Linked DNA regions of Neodiprion lecontei. The protein of the gene in region 1 interacts with the protein of each later gene in a pairwise test. Links are inferred from orthologs where the notes say so. Each region holds a gene or a part of one and is shown in the gene's direction. Other genes may lie near its edges.

Region 1 (6,764 bases):
AACTCATACCTTTTCTTCGTATATTAAATAAACAGAAGGGGTTCAAGTCTCGACGGTGCATCATTCTTTCGTAGCGGAATTCAGGAATGTTACTCGTATTCCAAAAATCATCAAAAACGTGATTTTTTTAAACATTTTACTATTTCAACATTTCTCGCATCTCAGGGGCCAAAAAGTGCATGGTTGAGATACTTTCCGCAATTCCGGCAAGAATGAGAAATAAAATGAGACATCGCAAGACTGCTTTCATGCAATATTAAGGCCGCTCAACGAAAACTAGGATTTACGGTAATTTTGTAGATAAAAGACGCTCTCATGCTGTGCTGGGGCGACCATACCAACCAAGGAACTTCGCGCCCAGCTGATCGCTAGAGCATTTTTTATTTACGAAATTATTTGTATCCCTAGTTTTCGTATAGCGACTTCAATATTACATGAAAACAGTCTCACGATGGCTTATTTTAGTCCTCATCCTTTCTAGAATTGCGGAAGGTATCTCAACTGTGCACTTATTGGCCCTTGAAATGCGGGAACTGTTTAAATAGTAACGTGTTTCAAAAAACCACTCATCTATTTAATGCTTTTCAAGATATGAGTAACATTTTTGAATTCCGCCATGAAAGAGCGATGCATCGTCGAAACTTCAAGCCTTTCCGTTCATTTGTTGATTTAATATTGGAAAAAAAGGGATGAGTTTGCTTGGTCGGTAAGGGTAGGCTGTCACAGGACCTTAAATTAAAGATTGAAATGATTTTTTGTAACAATACAGTTCCTCACAGGCCTTTGTAAAACAATAAATGATCTTCAAATTTATCACATGCAAATCATTTTATATTTTAAATATGTCGTACGGAAACTTATATTGATTTTGTTCCTGTAGGGCTGAATTTGCACAAGGTTGTTAAAGAAATTTTTATCATGAAGATACGTACAATTCTACGGCCTAGACTATCAACAGACCGTATGGCCTAATGGATAAGGCGTCGGACTTCGGATCCGAAGATTGCAGGTTCGAGTCCTGTTACGGTCGAGGCAAGTTTTTTAGTTCTTCAAACAGTGTTTTCACACAAGTAAATTGTGCAGCACATTCGAAAAATTCAGATTATCGTTTCAAAATCGATCCTGCAAATCCTAAAAGATTCGAAGAAGTTTGTTTTGCAAATCGATGAAAATTCAAATTATCCTTGAGCGGATGTCAATTTATCGCGCATTTTTTCAGCGTTCTATTTTCATTTTTAACTCTGCCCAGTTTCGAAATCTATTCTTTGCATTTGCAAGCATCATTCTCTGCAGTCAGTTGGTCGAGATATGATTTTTTGCCATTCCGTGCATCTTTAACGCGTGCGTGCAATTTGCGTCAGTCACGTGCGACAGCTGACAGCTGCATCTGCATACCACGTGACTATTGCCGGCGCTGCCGTAGGCTGAATATCGAATGAACCGTTTCGATCGGCCACCCCTGCCCTTCCTTATCGATGCAGCTGCGTCGTGACGCACGATGCAACGGCTCGACCAATGAGAAAACGCGGAGAGATGACCAATGGCAGACTAGGCTAGGTAAACGTTATGGAAAATGTTCAAGTCGCTGCGGCTGACGAAGTGACGACGGAGGAGGCCATATTGTTTTACTGCAGTGTTTGTTTTGGTGCTGCGGTGGCCAGTCTTAAAATCCAGTTGAATCAGCCTGGAAACTTGTCGAAAGTCTTCGACGAGACCGCTAAACGAAAAGGGAATACTGTGCAATTTGTAGTACCGATATATTTTCGGGAAATAAAACGCCTTTTGCGGTTCCTCGGCGATTTTTTGGTGTCAGTCGCGTACGAGACTGTGAAGAGTAAAAATGGCCTGCGCCACCCTGAAGCGATCACTCGAGTTCGACCCCGTTCACAGCCACGTAAGGCCTTCGAAGAGGCGAAGATGCGTACCGATGTGCATGTCGCCAAACACACCGCCGGCGAGGAATCAGAACCCATCAGCTTTCGGCGAAGTTACACAAAAATTGACGCCTGGTAATTATATTCGGCCATTTTTTTTTTTATCACGGGGTGTTAAAGGGGGAAGCTAGCTGCAAACGTAGATGTATAGCGATTTAAAACCCGTATATACTATGGCCGGAGGCGTGAAGTGGGGTGAGGGGAGCGCAAATCATATGGAGATACCGACGTAACGGTCGCTGCTGATTTTCACTATTTTTACAAACAGCTTTCAAACTGGTTTTCCTCCACTCATCGCGCAATTTGAAATATACGTTAGAATGACCGTTTTTCTTCACAAAGTTTTTTCTCATTCGACAATTCCCCTCATCACCTCGGTGTTCAAACGCGCTTCTATGTCACTAAAAAAAAATTCCCCATTGTGTGAGTTTTGCGTACCCAGGCATTATTTCATTCAATAATGTCGAAGTTCGAAACGGGAGAAAAAGGACCAAGCCGAATCGTATGTTTGTAATCTTCATTTACGTATTCATCAGACATAATATTAGCATTTCCATGCTCAGTCTGATGCGTTACCACGAATCTATTGAAAATACCCATCAAAATTCGACCACCGTAAAGGCAGACTATTGCAACTTTACTATTTGCATAACTGTGAAAATTTTGAATGAATGCATGGAGTTTGTTACTCAACTTGTACATTTACATGAGAACTAAGCCTTCTTACTAACCTCTTTCAGCCATTACCAATAACTTGGAAATGATGTTGCAAAGACCTAATATTGTTTCGGTTTTCTTATTTATTATTTTCAAGTAATTTCACAATCCGTTATTTGAACATCATCAATCAAAACAATGCCTGGTTGCAATTGTGATTGCGATCCGTCAGGCTTGGTTATTCAGTCTAAGAAACTGAGGTCAGGTATCTGAATTGTTTACACCAATGCCGTAAAATGTTTTCATAGAAAAAATGGCTGCCAATATTAGAGAAGAGATCCGCAGGCTTCACCGGCGCAAGCAGCTGCATTTCAACCCGCAAAACAACAATGGTGGAGATTCTTCAGATACTGAAGGTCCAGCCAGTCCATCGACTAGTGGGCCTAGTGCTTACAGTCATAGCCCAAGCGGCAAAGAAAAACCACTGTTCACATTTAGACAGGTGGGTGTATTTTCAAAATAAAGAATGAATGGATATCGACATAATTGTGAGATCGTTTATTTGCTACAAATAATGGTTAACCAACTTGTGTTTAGGTGGGATTGATCTGCGAGCGGATGCTGAAGGAACAGGAGACGCAGATCCGAGAAGAATATGACCAGATTCTCAACATGAAGCTCTCCGAGCAGTATGACGCATTCGTTAAGTTCACCTATGATCAGATTCAGAAGAGATTTGAATCTGCGGCTGCACCGAGTTGTGAGTTATTGAATACTTGGAAACTTGTAAACTTGTAAACTCCTGATTTCAAGACTGGTGACTCACATGCATTGTGTTTTTTCTAATGTTTGATAAATTTGTAGATTTGTCCTAAAGGAGATTTGCCACTTCCACGGATGTGTTTCTTCAAAGAACGTTAGGTAAGTATCCTAGCATGTATATTCTGTAAAGTTGAATCGTGACTTTACATGATAATCGTCTAGGTAATGCGGCGAATGATTCAATTGTTATTGTCAAAAGATACTCTAGTGGTTTTCTCATTACAGATTTCTATGATATAAGTGAGAAAATAATTTTGCTTGGAGTTATGAGGGAAGAAATGCGCGGTGATGTTACCTCGCTGTGGAGACATGGGTTGATTAAATTTGAAAAGTAATTTCATTCGAAGTATAAAATAAACAGATGCAACAAAAAACATAATTAAATAATTTAACAAAAATATCAATAAATAAAAACATTTCAAAAAAGGTAATGAGGTGTGCGTATATATATATATATGTGTGTGTGTACCCTGACATATATGTATATATATGCGTATATAGGAAAGTAAGTTATAGAAGTAGGCTCACTTGCGGAGAGCGACCAGACTAAAAAAAATCGACAACGTATACTACTAAATTAACCATATTTGTACCATCCGGTTTTCAAAGTACGCTGTTATCAGGGAATCAAATAGAAAATTTACAAAGCTAAAGTAGCACAAGTATAAAAGTATTTGTAAATAAATTGCATACATGTGATCTGGTATTGATACTACATACACCGTGGTGGTGTGAATTTCCTACTCTTCGAATTTCCTGAAACCAATTTTTGCAAATCAACTGTAAAGCCTCTCGATAAGGATCTGATTACATACGATCGATTGTAACATCAATTTCTCCCAACTGATCCACAACAATTAGTAACGTACGGAATAAGATTGGTGGTGGTCAGAGTTACTTTGAATATCGATCAATGATGTGAAATCTAAGGTGTAACGTGATTTATTGATTTCGTCAGTCCCGATGAAATTTCTCTTGCAACAATTGATTATGTTATAATCATTTTCTAATATTTTTATTTCTCTACTCTCGCAATTATAATAACAAGTAAAATCTGCATATTTGGATGGTGATATATAGGTATATACGTTTTTGTAATGCTATGTTATTAGGTCAATCTCAAAATTATAAAGAATGTATTTTTTAACGAATATATTCCCTTATTTCGGGGTATTGCATTCATACTTTTATTAGAGCTTTTAATTTGTCATCTTGACCTTTCCCTCTTTAAACAAAAGTTTTCTGCTGGTAGATAAATTTTTCATCCTTGCTTTATTTTTTCTCTTTGATTTTTCCTTCTTATTGAAATGTAGCATTTATAAGTGTATTCTTAAATTATACGCGTTTGAAGAAGTAGAAAATTTATAAAAAGAACTGTGCACCATGCTAGGGCGAAAATTCAAAAAGAACTGATACTGTTTTCACATTATTGTCATTATTATTATTATTATTATTATTACTACTATTATTGTTGTTGTTATAATTTTTTCCCTGACAACAGCAACTTGCCATAGCATAATGAAATTAAATGCAGAATAATGAATATACATACTATTACCCATACATTTACTGTGCCTATTATTAGACATATTTATTACAATTACCCAACACTGCTATAATTATTACTTATTACTATTCATCGTAATTAAAAAAAAAAGAAAAATAATATTGGAAAAAAAAATTATTTTTAGTTGATAATGATTCTACATATGCGATGTTCGTTTTTTTTCTTTTTTACGTATACATACTATTCATATATATAGGTATAAATTAGGCGCATAATTGTCTCAAGATGAATCCGATAATGATAGTTCGTCTTGGTTACCATATATATTTCTCTGCTATTCACGCCGTTCAACAATTGAACGAAAGATGAATTCTAAGTATCAAGGAAGAGACTTAGCAAAAGAGTATGAGGAGTTTATGAAAACAGTTATTTTTTTTTTGTTGAATGAAAATTTAAGGAGCCGTGCTTCGTTATTTGCCAAATTGAAATTCGTTAAGTTTTATTCGTTCGATCAACAGATACTTGAAACTAGTTGACTGGAGAACAAAAAGTAGTTAAATACAATTCGCCAATAATATTTGAATTTTGGGGCGTAGTGACGACCTTGTTATTCAATACCAGGCAAGAATGCCACATCTTCTGATCTTATTACTGTATTTAGTTCAAGTGATAGCATAGTAACTTTTGTTGAGCTAAGAAAAACTTGTGGAACGAGAAACACTGCGATCCTTTGAAAAACGACTCGTATTTATCGTAGTACAACAAGGGATTAAATACTTGTACAATTATCTTATTACTCCTGCAAGACTATGCTGAAAACCAGATAAACTGTCATAGCTATTGTAAAACCTTAGGTAATAAATGTAAATTAATGATTGTGTAAGTCTTGAAATCAACAAAAGTTATTGCGCGAACTGTACGTTATAATAATTTTAATATTAAGAAACGTAAATAAATAAAAAAATGGAAATTGTACGTAGTATTTCGTCAAGCAGCATAAATGTATCCTGATGACAAGGAAGAATAAGTTACAATATTGTGAAGAGAAAAAAAATTATGAATGATGTATAAATATGGAAGGGAAAAACAAAACGAAAAAAAAAAACAAAAAGAAATACAAATAAATTTAGTTAGTATATTGAATAATGAATAATACCTAATACTAATGATTAATAATGATTATATTAAGAAGCAACGATGAAGAAAACAGCTAAGGTAAATTCCTTGGGAGAAATCAGGGAAGATTTGATTTCAATGATTAAAAATACCTCCATATTAATATTATGTAAACACTTATTAATGAAATAAATATAAACCTTAAGACTGATCTTTATCTGACTATCTATAAATAATTCCACATCCACTTTTGCTATGCTTCTATTTGTATAAAAATTTTAGCCCGCTCTTGTAAAACGTTCCAACGCAAATAATCAATGTAGATCTAATTATCAATAGAAATTCGATTTCGAATCGTTTCACCCCTCTAAACACGGCTTGAAATACTGAAGTATGATCTTAATGAAAGTAGCTCTAGTTCTTAGTTCACTGAAGAGTACTTTAACTATTCTAAGATACTGTTGTCGCAGACTCTGAAGAATGGAGAAAGAAATTGTCATAGAATGGGATGGAAGACGTCACAAAGCGAGCCAATTTCTTGAAATTCCTATATTCCGATCCTGTTAAGAGACTTATTCAATAGTATAATCGCATTAGTCTGGATATGGCTTCGTAGTAAGAAGCCCCATTAGATCTATAAGAGTAGATGTACGTCAGAAGGCCTCCGTCACTTCTGGGCGGGAAACAACGCTCGGTTACACAGATTCTTTACAGTCCGACACTATCGG
Region 2 (7,008 bases), on another chromosome or scaffold:
TTGATTACGGAATACCTTTGAAGTGATGTAGAAGATTCGTATTTACATGACTCAACCCACGGTCAACTCAGCTTACCGCCGTGTTTATGTTTCACGAATAAATGTTACAGACACTAATAGTAAGCCCACGAATGAACCTGCAGTCAGTATTATACACATGTCACGAGTCGTGAAGAGCCCGAGAAGGCACGACTTAATTTTTCCGAACATCCGTGCGCTTTAATTCTTTTCCGAATTAATGAATCAGCCGAAGTATTAAACATGATATCGCATCTTTCGACAAACGTATCAACGCTTCGGCGCGCGACTGCGATCTTGTCTCAAAGCCGACAGTCAGCTGTTCAATACAGTCCAGCTAGATGACAACACACTTTGCAACGTGAATATGATCGATATTCTCGAAAACTTACCGACACGAAGTAAGGTGATGTTCCCTGACATGTTGACACAAAGATTGTTCGAATACCAACTTGAACATGGTAGACAGTGTATTCCCAGTAGGGTCCGTTTTGTCCACAGTCATGTAAACTGGATAAATCTACGGAGGATCAAAGGTAGTAAAACCAGTTCAGGTTTAACCACGGTCCCGTGACTTAGTAAAAACGTGGTAAAAACATACAGGGCTCTGCCCATTGCATTGCCTAAGCGGTCGCGACTCCCTATCGCCTGCTTGATACAAAAGTATGACTTAACCAATAAACGAGTTATTGAAAATAAAACACTCTGCAAATATATTGAAGTTGAATTTCGTACGTAACTCTAATTAACCGTTATATTTGCCACTTTGACGAATGCATCTCACGCTCTATTGACAATTCTCATGTAGAATTCATGTGAAAATTCATATCAGAACCTTATACGTGAGTTTATAAAGCAACGAATGAAAATCTAGACTTTTTAAGTACAATCAACGAACAATCTTCGCTCGTCGCGGCGATATTAAACACATATCGACGATTATAAACAATGCAAAGCAATCCATTTCATCTATAATAAAAATTCAACGAACAATATGAATTAAGAAACGATCAACAATCGACGTCTGCACGACAATAATGTACTTAATAAAAACAATTAATCGTGTGACGTATGAAAAAATTATTCAAAAAATTACGTATTATTGTTCACCATGTAATAGGTCTGCTGAACATACCGCATTAAAAAAAGCACCGAATGCTCTACTGCTTGCGATTGTGTGGAACACATAATTCATACACTATTCCAAAAATTTGTTTCCATTTCGTTGTAGTTTTACAAATTTTTAGATTAGCTGATACACTTATTTGCCAAACGTACAAATTTAATAAATTAGACCCCCATCTAAGACATTTTCAATCAATATTTCCGACTTCGGAAATACAATACAAAAAAAAAATGGGAGACTATGAAAACTTCAAAAAAGTCGTATAAACTTCAATTATTTCAGATTATTGTAGTCTGTTATTTTCGCAGATTATAATTTGTCTATTTTCAGATGTGTGATGACAGTGTTAAGCAAGTTTTCAAATGTTGTCACATTAAATTTTCGTTATTAGTATTCAAAAGGTAAGTGGGTGAGGAGCCATCTTAGCGATCTGAAAGCTTCTTTATCGGCGGGTGGCATACGCAATCCCACAACGCCCGTTTCCTTCGAAACAGTTTAAACAGCGTTCATTTTTTTGTATATAGTTGGGGATAGGCTGAACTTAGTTTAAACTTCGATTAACGTGGGAGAGATCGGGCCTAAGTCAATGCCATGTCAATGCTACGTCAATGCTGTAAGTCTTTAGTCAACACGGTCAACACGGAAGATAACAGTCCCATCCCCTTTCATAAAAGGTAGTCTTCAGTTAGCGACGCCGTGGGCACGAGAAACGCGAACACGCATCTCTCGATTCTCTTGATTCCAAGACTATTCTAAAAATGGGAAAGTCTACTGTCTAGTGACGAATCAAAGCGCACTCTGGTTTTCGCAGTTTGAACATTTGTACCGCAAACAAAGTCCCCCCAATTTATTTCCTGCTAGTGCGTCTCAAGTTGAGAAGTGAAGGTTATTTTCTGCCTATTTTGATTTTCACGTAGATTTTTATCGGTTTTCAATATACTCTAACTACTGCTATGTTATCCAGTGAAAAAATACCGTCTAATGTAACTAATAACTATTGAAAATACTGAGATATCTTTTTTTCTCCTACGGCTTTCCAGTGTCAACTGAAAACATCCCAAATCAGATATTCTTGCTCTTTATTAACTCAATTATTTTAAAATTTCACGTGGAATATTTTGAGTTAATTATCTCACCCCCCACTTAGGTCTTCCATCATAAATATCCAACCTGTGTTCTGTAATTAAACTGTGCTTAAATTTACTACATCATATTGGTATTGAAAACTTATCGCGTCATTTGTGCTCTTACTCAGCGCAGCCCGAGCAGGCTTGGTGAAAAATAGCATCTCGTGGCTTCTGCCAATCATCACTCAGTTTTCAAGAGTTATGCATTTAAATGAAAGAGAATATCTTGTGTAAAGGTTTTTTTAATTATCATCCATCACTCGATTAGATTTCCTTGTTTCTCTTAATGTACAGGCTTTTTTCAAGCGCAACGTCTAGTATTTAACTGTATGACGTGTATTTAGGGTAATTCTATACTATTGAACTTAATTTTGATTTTACTCATATTCAGATAGCTCGCTTTCAAAATGGCACAGCGTTTTCCTGTGCCAAATACAGGAAATAATGGCCCACCATCACAGCGATACCCTCCTCCTTCCGTACCACCAAATCTGAGACAATATTCTGGCCCCAACTTCCCGGTAGGCAAGGTTAATTTTGATTCTTTATTATTTACTAACTACTAAGTCTCTCTCTCTTTCTCAAACTACAGCGAGCAACTTTAAATTCACTCGAGTTATTATGATCCAATACTTTAATTGAAAAAAAAAATGATTTTTCGTGGCAATTATTATTAGAATATGACGGCTGAGGTTTTCTCTATTTGTAACATTTTTAAATTTGAAAAAACTCCTTTGTATCCAAATTGTCTACTGTTCTTTGGGTGAATGTCTCTTTACGCAGATGCAGCAAAGGTCAGGTTTTACCCCACCTCCACAAATGGGCAGTGGAGGCCCAGGACCTGGAGGAATGATGAGGCCAAACCAGCCATACACTAATATGCGCCAAGGACCTATGCCCACACCTCCAGGAAGCAAAAGATCTACTGAGCAACGGATACCAATATCTCAGCAAAAACCGTGAGTCCATTTTATTTCTATAATCTTAGATGTAATGATTATTATTGCTCATTTTTTGAACATACCATGTAATTTACAACATTTCTTTGTATGCTTGTAACATTATAAAGCAAGTGAATGTTCAATTTGTCAATTTATAAAGTTATATGATGCTTATGGTACTGAAATTCTTTGCTAAGTCTTTTTCGTTACTGTGTTTTTTTGTACGTTTTTCATGGTACAAGCCCTCACTGTTCTGGATTAGAGCTCAAACTAAGGTACAAAGTTTTTACCAGGCGATGCAGCCATCGTCATAACTAATTTTTACAAAAATCTTTTCAAAATTAATTTTGATTTTTGAGCTATGATTTTTCACGCAAACTCACTAGGTATTTTTGGAACAGTGATTTCTCACATTCCACATCGAAGAAGAAGAAGAAACTGGCAGACAAAATTCTACCTCAGAAAGTACGCGATCTTGTACCAGAGTCACAGGCGTACATGGATTTGCTTGCTTTTGAGCGTAAACTTGATGCTACCATTATGCGCAAACGTTTGGACATCCAAGAAGCCCTGAAACGTCCTATGAAACAAAAACGAAAGTTGAGAATCTTTATATCTAATACTTTCTACCCAGCTAAAGAAGCTGGCGAAGGAGAAGAAGGTTCTGTTGCTTCGTGGGAACTTCGGGTAGAAGGAAGACTTCTCGATGATACAAAAAATGACCCCAACAAGGTATCAATGAGCCCAACATTTTCGTATTATACTGGGAAAAGCGGCATACATGTTTTGGGTTGTTTCATAGGTCAAGAGAAAATTTTCATCCTTCTTTAAAAGCTTGGTAATAGAGCTAGACAAAGACTTGTATGGGCCAGATAATCATCTGGTTGAATGGCATCGTACGCTGACAACTCAAGAGACTGATGGTTTTCAAGTTAAAAGACCTGGTGATAAGAATGTTAGATGTACAATTTTGTTGCTGCTTGATTATCAACCACTGCAGGTACATTTTATCATTAAAACATATTCAAATTGTATCAAGGTGGCGACTGACCGAGTAATCCGAGAAAACCAGAAATAGTCGGGGAGTTCCGTCTATCGGGAAAAGTCAGGGAATTATGATGGTCTACAGGAAAGAAACTGTACTTTTTTGATAAATTGTTTTCAAACTTCAACTAGGCTTGGTAAATTAAGTTAAGCTCGCTTTTGGAAATGTTACTGTGCAGTTTTTACACACACACATACACACGCGCGTGTACATAGCTTTTAGTCATAAAAACCACCCAACATTACCTGAGCTTCATGAAAAAAGGTCAGGGAATTTTAGTCGAGCAAAGTTGTCGTCACCCTATGTATGTAAACATCTAATTATGTGTAATAATTGAGACCCTACGTGCAACAGCAACTTAACTCGAGTTAAGATTTGGACAATGAAATATTGAAAATTATGATCTTATGGGTGTGTAGTGATATCAAAGGTTAGGACAATTTCGTCAAAACAAAAAACGATTGATTTTTTTTATTAAAACACCTGTACATCAGTTAACAAATACTTTATTCATATTTCATTGTCCAAAACTTAACTCGAGTCAAGTTCTTGTTGCATGCAGGGGTTCAATTGACTTATTGCCAATTTTGCAGTTCAAGCTCGACCCTCGCTTAGCTCGCCTACTTGGTGTTCATACACAAACTCGACCAGTCATCATCTCCGCTCTCTGGCAGTATATAAAAACACACAAACTTCAAGACGGACATGAACGTGAATTTATAAACTGCGACAAATATCTGGAGCAAATATTTGCTTGTCCTAGAATGAAATTTGCTGAAATACCTCAACGCTTGAACCCATTACTTCATCCGCCAGATCCAATTGTTATTAATCATGTCATTAGTGTAGAAGGTACGTACAATAATAATCATTGAGCATCTTCGTAAATGAATACAGTTTGATTGACAAAATTGTTGTATGGAGTACATCAGCTTTTAATCTGTCAAACTTTTCAATTGATTTCAAATGTGGTTGTTCCTCGATTTGAAGAATATGAATCCAGGTATAATACTAATTCTTGCTCCATTGCCATTAAAACATTTTCATTTAGGTACAGAGACAAAGCAAACCGCGTGTTATGATATCGACGTTGAAGTAGATGATACGCTCAAGACCCAGATGAACAATTTCTTGTTGTCGACTGCAAGTCAGCAAGAAATTCAAAGCCTTGATAATAAAATTCACGAGACAGTGGAAACTATAAACCAGTTGAAAACAAATCGTGAGTTCTTTTTGAGCTTCGCAAAGGACCCTCAGCAGTTTATCAACAAGTGGATTATATCACAGACTAGAGACTTGAAGACAATGACAGATGTTGTTGGCAACCCCGAGGAAGAGCGTAGAGCTGATTTCTACTATCAGCCTTGGGCCCAAGAAGCAGTATGTCGATACTTTTACACTAAAGTTCAACAAAAGCGTGCAGAGTTAGAACAAGCTCTTGGAATTCGCAATTCATAAACCTCAAACTATCCCATAATTGCCAACGGTATCGTCAGTTAGGCATGCAATTGCCAACCAGTACACTTTCCTGAAGGACACGGTTTAATATGATAATTTTTTATGTGCTCATGCATAATTAAGGCGAACGATCCAAATGATTAAAAGAGTTCTGTGAATTTTTTTACATGATTATAACAATTAAATTCAAATCGAATGAATTATAGCCAAAATTACCCAAATATAACTTTTATTGGCACGGCATTACCAATTTATTATACTACGTCAGGTGAATATGACTATTGCCTCAAGTACAAGTCAGGAAGGTAAAAAGCAGTAATACGATTATATAAAAATTGTATTACACTTTATAAATGTAATAAAAACCATACCATAGATAAAGTCGAACTTTTAACTGTGGATTATACTGCGTATTACCACAAATTTCTGATTATTGATGCTATTCAAATTAAGAAATACGTCAACGAGGTCTGCTGATGCAACTTTTTAATCATATTTAATAATCTTTCAGAAATGTATCGTGAACATTTAACAGTATTTATAACATTTAATATTTTTGCTAATTTCAATTTGCCTCCGTGCATTCAATGTCACTAGATTCATCATCAATACAGTCACATTATTGAAACCCATACCTTTGTGGTACATTCACAATATTAATTGAAGTAAAGTATGTGACTCTTTCACCGGGTATACAAAAAATAAGTCATGATTATACACATTATAGCAAATAAATAATATTGAGATACAGCCGATAAATTTTTGTGTTTGATATCGTCCTCTTGACAACATGAACTCATTTTTTAGTTCTTATATCTGATGCTGCTGAAGTTCGTAGTACTCTGTAATTATTGGATGAAAAAGTTGTAATAAAGCGAGCGAATTCTGTTTGGTGTTTCAAACATTAATTATTTGTCATATTTGTATAGTAAATAGTTTTACAGGTTTAATGTAGAGTATCAGAATAATCTACAGATTTCCACGAAATTTTTTCGTACGGAAAGGATGTCTCAAAGTGGACCAATCACACTCACACAGGGGTCAATTTACAGCGGTTATCATGATGCATGGAAGGACCTGTTGTAGCTTGGAAGGCCTGTTTCAAGGTATTCTCTATACACAGTAAAGTGAGGATGACAAATCCTTTGTCGCTCAAAGTGCTTTTAGGAGATCTTGTGTGCATTCCTTCATACAGTGTGTGATATTCCAGAATCTGCTCCAAATTCGGATTTTCTTCCTATAGACTATACGTTTCTCAAAATTAGGTATTTGTGAATGAAAACTTGGATTTAA

Evidence for each region.
Region 2: the proteins of akirin-2 (region 1) and brahma-associated protein of 60 kDa interact in binary tests that used the Drosophila melanogaster proteins (3 or more experiments, as listed by UniProt). The link is inferred for Neodiprion lecontei from reciprocal best matches to the Drosophila melanogaster genes akirin and Bap60.

Annotation. Positions count from the first base shown.
Region 1 is NC_060263.1:15,142,509-15,149,272, reverse strand, and holds akirin-2, read left to right. Parts: upstream 1-1,589; 5' UTR 1,590-1,840; coding exon 1,841-2,009; intron 2,010-2,899; coding exon 2,900-3,093; intron 3,094-3,188; coding exon 3,189-3,351; intron 3,352-3,455; coding exon 3,456-3,466; 3' UTR 3,467-3,512; intron 3,513-3,638; 3' UTR 3,639-6,253; downstream 6,254-6,764. UniProt on the Drosophila melanogaster protein: Molecular adapter that acts as a bridge between a variety of multiprotein complexes, and which is required for embryonic development and for normal innate immune response.
Region 2 is NC_060261.1:37,097,590-37,104,597, forward strand, and holds brahma-associated protein of 60 kDa, read left to right. Parts: upstream 1-1,735; 5' UTR 1,736-1,757; intron 1,758-1,796; exon of another isoform or gene 1,797-1,818; intron 1,819-1,893; exon of another isoform or gene 1,894-2,127; intron 2,128-2,662; 5' UTR 2,663-2,678; coding exon 2,679-2,801; intron 2,802-3,054; coding exon 3,055-3,230; intron 3,231-3,454; coding exon 3,455-3,487; intron 3,488-3,598; coding exon 3,599-3,944; intron 3,945-4,014; coding exon 4,015-4,212; intron 4,213-4,850; coding exon 4,851-5,109; intron 5,110-5,308; coding exon 5,309-5,715; 3' UTR 5,716-6,474; downstream 6,475-7,008. UniProt on the Drosophila melanogaster protein: Involved in the recruitment and site-specific anchoring of the Brahma complex at specific promoter sites.